2 linked regions of the Rattus norvegicus genome follow. The protein of the gene in region 1 interacts with the protein of each later gene in a pairwise test. Links are inferred from orthologs where the notes say so. Each region holds a gene or a part of one and is shown on either strand. Other genes may lie near its edges.

Region 1 (3,816 bases):
GAGTAATACTCATGGCACGGATGTCTACTGCCTTCCTGCCAGCCAGAGCACCCCTCTCTGCCCACTCCTGTGACACAGAGAAAGGTCTGTTCCACGGAGCTCGTGTGTAGAGGTCAGGCCCACACAGAGACTCTTCCTGTTTTGAATATGAACCAATTTGGAGACTTAACAGTACACTAAATCTTTTCAGGACTCCGTCTTGACTAGTCCTTGCCTGGATAATTGGAGCAGGGATGTACACGGAGTTGGGGTCGGGGCATCTACTCGTTCTGTCTGGCATACCTTCCGTTCTCTGGCAGTGTGTCTACACGCCTATTTGAGAAGGAAAAGGAGAGATAGGTAGAGAGTAGGGAACCAATTAGGCAGCCAAAGGGAGGAAAAAGGATATCTATCAATATTTGGAGTTACCCTGATAAGTTTTATTTTTAAATTTTTCTAAACAACAGGGCTAGGGACTAGGGAAATAACTCAGTCAGTAATAGTGAAGTCTATGAAAGGAAAAAGTAACCAAGGTGAACTCCTAGCACCCATGTAGAAAACCAGAAATGTTGGTATGCGCTTCTAATCCTGACACTAGAGAGGAGGACACAGAGGTACCCCTGGGGCTCACTGGCCACACAGCTTTGCTGAACTGATGAACCCCACGTTCAGTGAGAGTCCTTGCCTAAAAAAATCCATGTCAAAGATTCTTGGGAAATGATATCTGGGTTTACCCCCTAGCTTCCACAAACATGTGCATACATGTGCACATGTGCTTATACATGCATGTACCTGCACATATGAGAACACAAGTATATGTACTGTGTGTCAGGATGCTCCCTTGCTTGGTTCTTTCAAGTATCTCAAATAAGCAGGTACAATTATTAGATCACAGATGGTAACTAATGTTTTATCTGCATGTGACTCATCTGATCAGAAGCTATTTATGAATAGATTACATGTATTTCATCTACATGAAAAAATTATAAGTCACTGGTTTTTATTACAGATACCTGATAACACTTGGTGGGGAGGGGCAGGTTGCCAGCAGAAGTGGCAGGACCCATAGGCCTGTTCAGAGTTAGGATTATTTTTATTCATTTATTTGTCCATCCCCTTAATAACAGATCTTTGAAACCATGCATTTTGTACCAGCTCTCTTAATTTGCCGATGTTGTTGGCAAGAAATATAGCCTCATAGGGCCACCAAGACCCAAATCCTGCTACTAAGCAAAGTGTAGTAATAGCATAAAAGAAGGTGAGTTTTTGATCAAGGAGTAAAAAAGGCTCTCAACATAAGGCAGAATTATCATGAGGTAGGATTTTCAGGAAGACTCAAGGTTGTTTAGCAGCAGAGGCCAATGGGAAGAGACAATTGGAGGTAAGGAACAAAACGCAGGGAAACTCCTAGAAGAACAGCAGGTCCCAATGGACAGGGTCCTGAGGCTGGAGCCCCAGATCAGCGACATCCACTGAGAACCTGATAGAACCTTCCTCTTGAGGGCCTGCCTGCCTTCCACATGTTGAATCACTGTCTGGGCGTGAGACCCAGCAACCAACAGTTGACTCTGATACATCCAGAGGTTGGGGTATTGGCCATATAGTGGGAGGTGAGACCAGGGAGAAGAGAAATGAACAAGTGAAGTGAGCAGGGGAGATTTTATGAAGTACTTTTCATCTCAAAAATGAAGTGGAAAATGACAGCCTGAGAAACGTGACACTGTTCACTAGATAATCACACAGGCAAGGGAGAAGACTAGGGTCATGTTACTCATTGACAGAAACAGGCTTCTGACTGACTCCTAGACAAGGGCACATGGGTCCTGTCTGTCACCCCTGTCCCTGAATTCATGACCTTTATGGAGGTTATTATTCAAGAACCTTTGCAGCCAGTGGAAGGGAAGGCAGGGGCACTGTCAGGTGTCTCCTAGTAGAGTGAAGAGCTGTGAGAATCCCCTGCTAGAGGAAGGCTGCTTCGACAGCCTTTAAGATGCTCAGCAGTTGGTGGCCCTGCGTTCAGCATTCTCAAAGACTTGTTTGTGGTGATGCCGACCCATTGCTAAATTCACCTTCAAAAAGAATTGCCGTTCGTTAAATAACATTAAATGCTATTTTTTTCTTTCAGAGCCAAAGACTCCGTCAAACACTTTCATGTTGAATACACTGGGTACTCCTTTAAGTTTGGCTTTAATGAATATTCATCTCTAAAGGATTTCGTCAAGCATTTTGCAAATCAACCTTTGATTGGAAGCGAGACAGGTAAGCTGTCTTAATACCTGGTTTATTAAGATGGTTTACTGATTCATAGTTCTGCATGAGAATTTGCTTGGAATCTGGTGACTTCTGATGGGGCTAAGAACATTGCGTAGCGAGAGACAGGGGAGGAATACATCAAAGATGAAGTCCTTGCTATAGCCACAAGCTCACTGGGAATTTGTGATCCTCTTAACTCAGCCTCACAAGTGCTGAATTATGGGATATGGGGCATTAAAAGCTCATCCAGGCAGGCGGAGCTTTATGTGTTTGAGGTCAGTCTGATCCACATAGTTCCATGGACAGTCAGGTAAATACAGTGAGCCCTTATATAAATAAATACATACATGAATACATAAATAAATGCATAAATACATAAACAAATAAATGATACAGAAAAACAATTTCTTTAGAATATTCTATTTTATAATACATAGAGCAAAGAAAAGAAAACACGAAGTAATTCTTCATCATTTCAGACATGGAAACTGGCAGGAAACTGCTTGTGGCATGAAAGTGATAGGTTTAGAAACGTGTGTGTGAGCAAATACAGAGGCGAATGCCAGCAGCAAACCACTGAGCTGAGAATAGGTCCCCCGTTGAAGGAATCAGAGAAAGAACTGGAAGAGCTTGAAGGGGCTCGAGACCCCAAAAGTACAACAATGTCAAGCAACCAGAGCTTCCAGGGACTAAGCCACTACCTAAAGACTATATATGGACTGACCCTGGACTCTGACCCCATAGGTAGCAATGAATATCCTAGTAAGAGCACCAGTGCAAGGGGAAGCCCTGGGTCCTGCTAAGACTGAACCCCCAGTGAACTAGACTATGGGGGGAGGGCGGCAATGGGGGGAGGGTTGGGAGGGGAACACCCATAAGGAAGGGGAGGGGGGAGGGGGATTTTGCCCGGAAACCGGGAAAGGGAATAACACTTGAAATGTATATAAGAAATACTCAAGTTAATAAAAAAAAATAAAAAAAAAAATATCCAATAAAAAAAAAAAAGAAACGTGTGTGTGAGTGTGTGTGTGTGTGTGTGTGTGTGTGTGTGTGTGTGTGTGTGTGTGTGTGCAGCTGAGACCCAGAGAACTTAATCTGGAGCACTTTCAAAAATAAACTTCACCAGAAATGCCCACAGCAACCAAGTGCTCATATTGAAAATGGAAAACATTTTTATGAGCAATCATAGCCCCTAACTGTCATATTAGTTTATTACCAAGTTTTAGGCCTGTAGCTTGGTATGCATTCAAAATGTCTCATTTCAGAAGTTAGTCAAAGTGGAAGATTAATAATAATAATAATAACATATATATATCAAACCCCACAGTTTGTTGGCCAGCGTCCCACTGGTCTAACCTCTGTTGATACTTGAGCTAAATGACCACACAGGGGGGAAGTTTATTTTGTCTGACGGCACCCGGGTTTTAGGCCATGACCCTTTACCCCTTGTCATCATTGATGGGAGTACACAGCAGTGAGATCCACTCAGCTCATGACCAGGAAGCAAGGAAGATGGAGGTGGGGTGGGGACCTAGTCCCATTTTGATGTCCCCTTCAAGGTCACACCGATTGGTCTAACCAAAG
Region 2 (4,508 bases), on another chromosome or scaffold:
GGGGTGTGTTACTTAAATGTCCGGGCCTCCAATTCCACATCTGAAAATTAGCTACAGTTCCGAGAGGGAGGGGGAGGAGGAAGGGAGTAGGAGGGACAGGAGAGAGAGAGAGAGAGAGAGAGAGAGAGAGAGAGAGAGAGAGAGATTACATTAGCAGTCACTACAAACCGCCCTTTCCTTTGTGCTTTTTTGGGAAATCAGAAACAGGAGTATCCTAAGTCAGATGGTACATGGAGGATGTTCTTAACGCCTATACAGTTCCCATCATTCAACCCTTTTTGAAACCCTAGAGGTGAAAGATTTCTCGGACACTTTCTTCACTCTTGAAGCTCAAAGAGTTCTCCACAGCGTCATAATGGCAACCCCAAATAATGCGCAGACTCTTCAAACTGACACAAAAGCCAGGAGAGCTGCCAGTAGTGTGAGGAACCTGTTGGGGCTGCTGAAAAAAGCTATGAGGAGACCCAGTCACTAGTTCTGATTACTCATCCAGGAGACAGCCGGGCACCTCAGCCAGGCACCTCTTTATTACTACTGTTGTTTCAGAACCCCGTACATGTATACAATTGTTTTCTGATCAAACTCACCTGTCACTTCCAACTACAGAACCACCCCACCCCTTCTCCCAATTTCATATACTGTTTAAAAACAAAGTCTCACTATGTAGCTCCGGCTGTTCTGGAACTCACTATGTAGCCCAGGCTGCCCTGGAACTCCGTATACCTGCCTCTGCCTCCCGAGTGCCGGGATTAAAGGCAGACACCACCACCGCTCGGCAACTTTTTTTTTTAAGATTTATTTATATGAGTACACTGTAGCTGTCTTCAGACACACCAGAAGAGGGCATCAGATCCCATTACAGATGGTTGTGAGCCACCACGTGGTTGCTGGGAATTGAACTCAGGACCTCTGGGAGAGCAGTCAGTCCTCTTAACCGCTGAGCCATCTCTCCAGCCCCGGCAACTTTTTTTTTAAACCCTGAATCCACTTAGCGCTAACGGTATATGCTCCAGTGTAGGACCATCCATTGGAGCAAAAGGACAGAGTATCAGAGACCACACCCCTGAAGAAAACTGACCCTCCCTCATCCTGTAGCCAATAGCAACCAATAACTCTTCGGCTGATCCTGGGGCTACGGAAGCTCCTCCTCTGTTCTGATCCATTCTGCCTGTTATTTCCATTTCCTAAGGGACGCGGCAGTTGTAGCTGTTAGGTTTTTTAAAGCAAGGCTATTTTGATCATCCGCGTATCCTCAGAATCATCTACTGTCATTCTGTAAAATTGTTGTCAGTGAATAAACTCGCGGAGGTCAGTGCTTACACACTCGTGCTGCCCAAGGACGCGTCCCGAGTCTGGCACAGAGCAGGCTCTGGGTTCTGGTTAAATGTATCCACAGTGCAGCAGTGCTGGACCTGCGCTCAGGAGCCCAGCCGCGGCGCTCGCAGGGCATAGCCACCAGGTGTCGCCACCACGTCCCCGCGCGGGGCGGAGCGGCCGCTGAGTGGGAGTAGCATGTGGACGTTCGGACGCCGCGCAGCCGCGGGCTTGCTGCCCCGGACGGCCTCCCGGGCCTCCGCCTGGGTCCGGAACCCACGCGGGAGGGAACGGATTGGAACCTGCGGCCGCCGAGGCCTACATGTCACAGCCAACGCCGACGCCATCCGCCACTCTGTGAGTATGCGCGCCGCTGGGCTGCATACCGGAGCGCAGGCCGCGTCCGCCCCTATGCCGGGGACGCGCAGCGCGCACGCGCCGGGCCGCACTGCGTGGACGCGCGCGCGCAGGGCAGAGCACGCGCGGTGTTTGCGCGGGGTTAGATCCTTGGCGGTGAAGATGAGAAAAAACAATTTCTGTAATTAACACAGGATGTGCAGCGAGTACAGCAGGGTGTGTTTATTACTGTATGCACACCGCAGGTGGCAGGCAGAAGCATGGAAGGAACCTGGGCTTCCGCGAACCAGTTGCCTTTTTCGGGGCAATGGGGTTGTGGAGTTTCTCAGAGCACGGCTTTTTGTTGTTTGTCTCACCCTGTATCCCTGGCTAGCCCAGGATTAGCCACGTACCCCAAAGTGGTTTCAATCTTGTGATCCTCCTGCCTCTTCACTAGTGCTGGGATCACCGATGTAGCAGTAGGGCCCAAGACTCCAGCTTTTGGAAAAGGAGGGGACCGCAGTTTCACATTCAGACTGCGCGGCCCTAGAGAGCCCTTGTGACCTTCGGAGACCCTAGCTCTCTGGAGGCAGGGCTTGGTTCTCTGTTCATGGGTGATTAAAGGGTAACACCCACTTTGCGATTTTGGCGGGAGAGTTAAACTGTAGGGAGAGTTAAACTGTAGTCGCCAAGGCCTTAGCACTTCAGATAAGTCTCGGTTCCTATAAGAGGCAAAGAACAGAATCTGTTACTCCATGGCTTAAAAAGATAGCCCAACGAGTAGCAGTGGGGTGAATGAAGGCTTCCCAGAGAGGGTTGTGATAGATGCTAAAGAAGGGGCCTGGGGGGAGCATTCCAGGAAGGGGAGAGCACCTGTCATCTCAGCTAAGGCTACACCACTTTCCCCTGCCTCTCCACTCAATCTCATCAACACACATGCCGTTGCCCAGCGCCTGGCAGTTAAAGACTAAGAGAAATCAACAGGTCACACCCTGCTGACGGGCTCCATCCAGCAGCCAGACAGCTTTTTTCTGGACTTCAACAGAATTCTACCTCTTTGCCATTTTTTTTTCTTTTAGTTAAATTCTGGGCTACTTCAAGGTGTCCTTGTCTCTGGCGAACCACCAAATCTCCTGAACAGCTTGCAACAGCACCACCCCGGGGAAATGTTCTGTCTGGTGCTACCTAATCATGGCCACTTGAGATACAGCCGCCGCAGCTGTCTCAGCCAGTGTCCTATTGCTGTGAATAGGCACCATGATCAAACATTTCACTGGGACTGGCTTACAGTTCAGAAGTTTAATCCATCATCATTGTGGCAGGAAGTGTGGTAGCACACAGGCAGACATGGTGCTGGAGCAGGAGCTGAGAGTGAGACGCTGGGTCTGGCTTGAGCATCTGAGACGTCAAAGCCCGCCCCCGGTGACATACTTCCTCCAGCAAGGCCCCACCTACTCCAATAAGGACACACCTCCTAATAGTCTCACTCCCTGATGAGCAAGCCTGCAGATACCTGAAGGGGCCATTCCTATTCAAACCACCACAACCAAGGACTAAATTTGGCCTTATCTTAATAAATTCAGAGGCTATGTCTCATGACCATCCTATTAGATGGCACAAGCTTAGCAGAAAGACAGGGAGAACCCATAACAAAGCATGAGGGGTAGAGCTGGGGATCAGCCCCTTGGAACTGTACCTCAGATGCTGTAACTGGTTACTCTCGAATACAGGAGGGCCGATCTATGAACCATGTATCGCTGGATCAGAGTAGACTAAGATGTGGTAATTAGTGAGCTTTTTGTTTTGTTTTTTAAAGATTTATTTATTTACTTTTTTTTTAATGAGTGTACACTGTTGCTCTCCTCAGACACACCAGAAGAGGGCATCAGATCCCACTACAGATAGTTGTGAGCCACCGTGTGGTTGCTGGGAATTGAACTCAGGACCTCTGGAAGAGCAGTCAGTGCTCTTAACCGCTGAGCCATCTCTCCAGCCCCTTAACTAGTGTTTTTAACTTTGTCTTTTAGCATTTGAACCTCCACTACCTCGGTCAGATTCTGAACATCAAAAAGCAGAGTGTCTGCGTGGTGCATTTGAGGAACTCGGGGACGTTGGGCAACCCAAGGTGAGATGAAAACACCTTCCACCTCAGGCGTGTCTTCTTCTTCCTCTCGCCTCATATGGAAACTATTTCTCCCTGGGAACAACCTTGAGTGACACCTTTCCCATTGCTAAGCATCCGCCATGTTACTTTAGATGAATGGTGTTACTGTGTGAATATCCCAGGCTTCCTTGAGGTCATTCCTATTGTTTAAGTTCTTTCCCCCAGAGTTTTGTTATTCCCTCCAGAATCCTAGTTGAAGAAGACCATATAGCTATAAAAAAACGCAGCTTCTCTCCAGGCTGCCCAAGGTTTGTCGTCCAAGTTAGAGCAGCCCGCCCAGGTTCCATCTGGTAGGAAGAGTTGGAAGCTTTGAAGGGCTAACACTGGCACTGGCCCCTCACTCTGGTTCCCGTGGGCCAAGCTCAGTTGCATAAGGAAGCTGGCAACGAAAGCTAGCAAGTGTCTTCAGGAAAGGGCAATGGAGTCCCTGTAGGGTCAGCCTTGCCTCCGTTTACACCTTTACTACTTGATTGTCTGTAGAGCCCTCTTCCACATGCAGGGTTGTCCCCAGCCCCAGAGATACCAACCAAAGGCACACAGGGGTGCTGTATCCTCTTTGAAGTCCAAGATGTCTGCGTGACATTCAGTACTCTAAGCTACAGAAATGCCTTTGTGTCTGCCAGTCTCTCTCCCTGTCTGTCTATCTCTCTCCATCTGTGTGTGGATCTGTCTCTCCCCCTTTCTCTCTGTCTCT

Evidence for each region.
Region 2: the proteins of Dapp1 (region 1) and Fxn interact in binary tests that used the Homo sapiens proteins (3 or more experiments, as listed by UniProt). The link is inferred for Rattus norvegicus from reciprocal best matches to the Homo sapiens genes DAPP1 and FXN.

Annotation. Positions count from the first base shown.
Region 1 is NC_086020.1:229,128,206-229,132,021, reverse strand, and holds part of Dapp1 (dual adapter for phosphotyrosine and 3-phosphotyrosine and 3-phosphoinositide), read left to right. Parts: intron 1-2,104; coding exon 2,105-2,238; intron 2,239-3,816. UniProt on the Homo sapiens protein: May act as a B-cell-associated adapter that regulates B-cell antigen receptor (BCR)-signaling downstream of PI3K.
Region 2 is NC_086019.1:231,320,969-231,325,476, reverse strand, and holds the start of Fxn (frataxin, mitochondrial), read left to right. Parts: upstream 1-1,487; 5' UTR 1,488-1,512; coding exon 1,513-1,671; intron 1,672-3,677; coding exon 3,678-3,775; intron 3,776-4,508.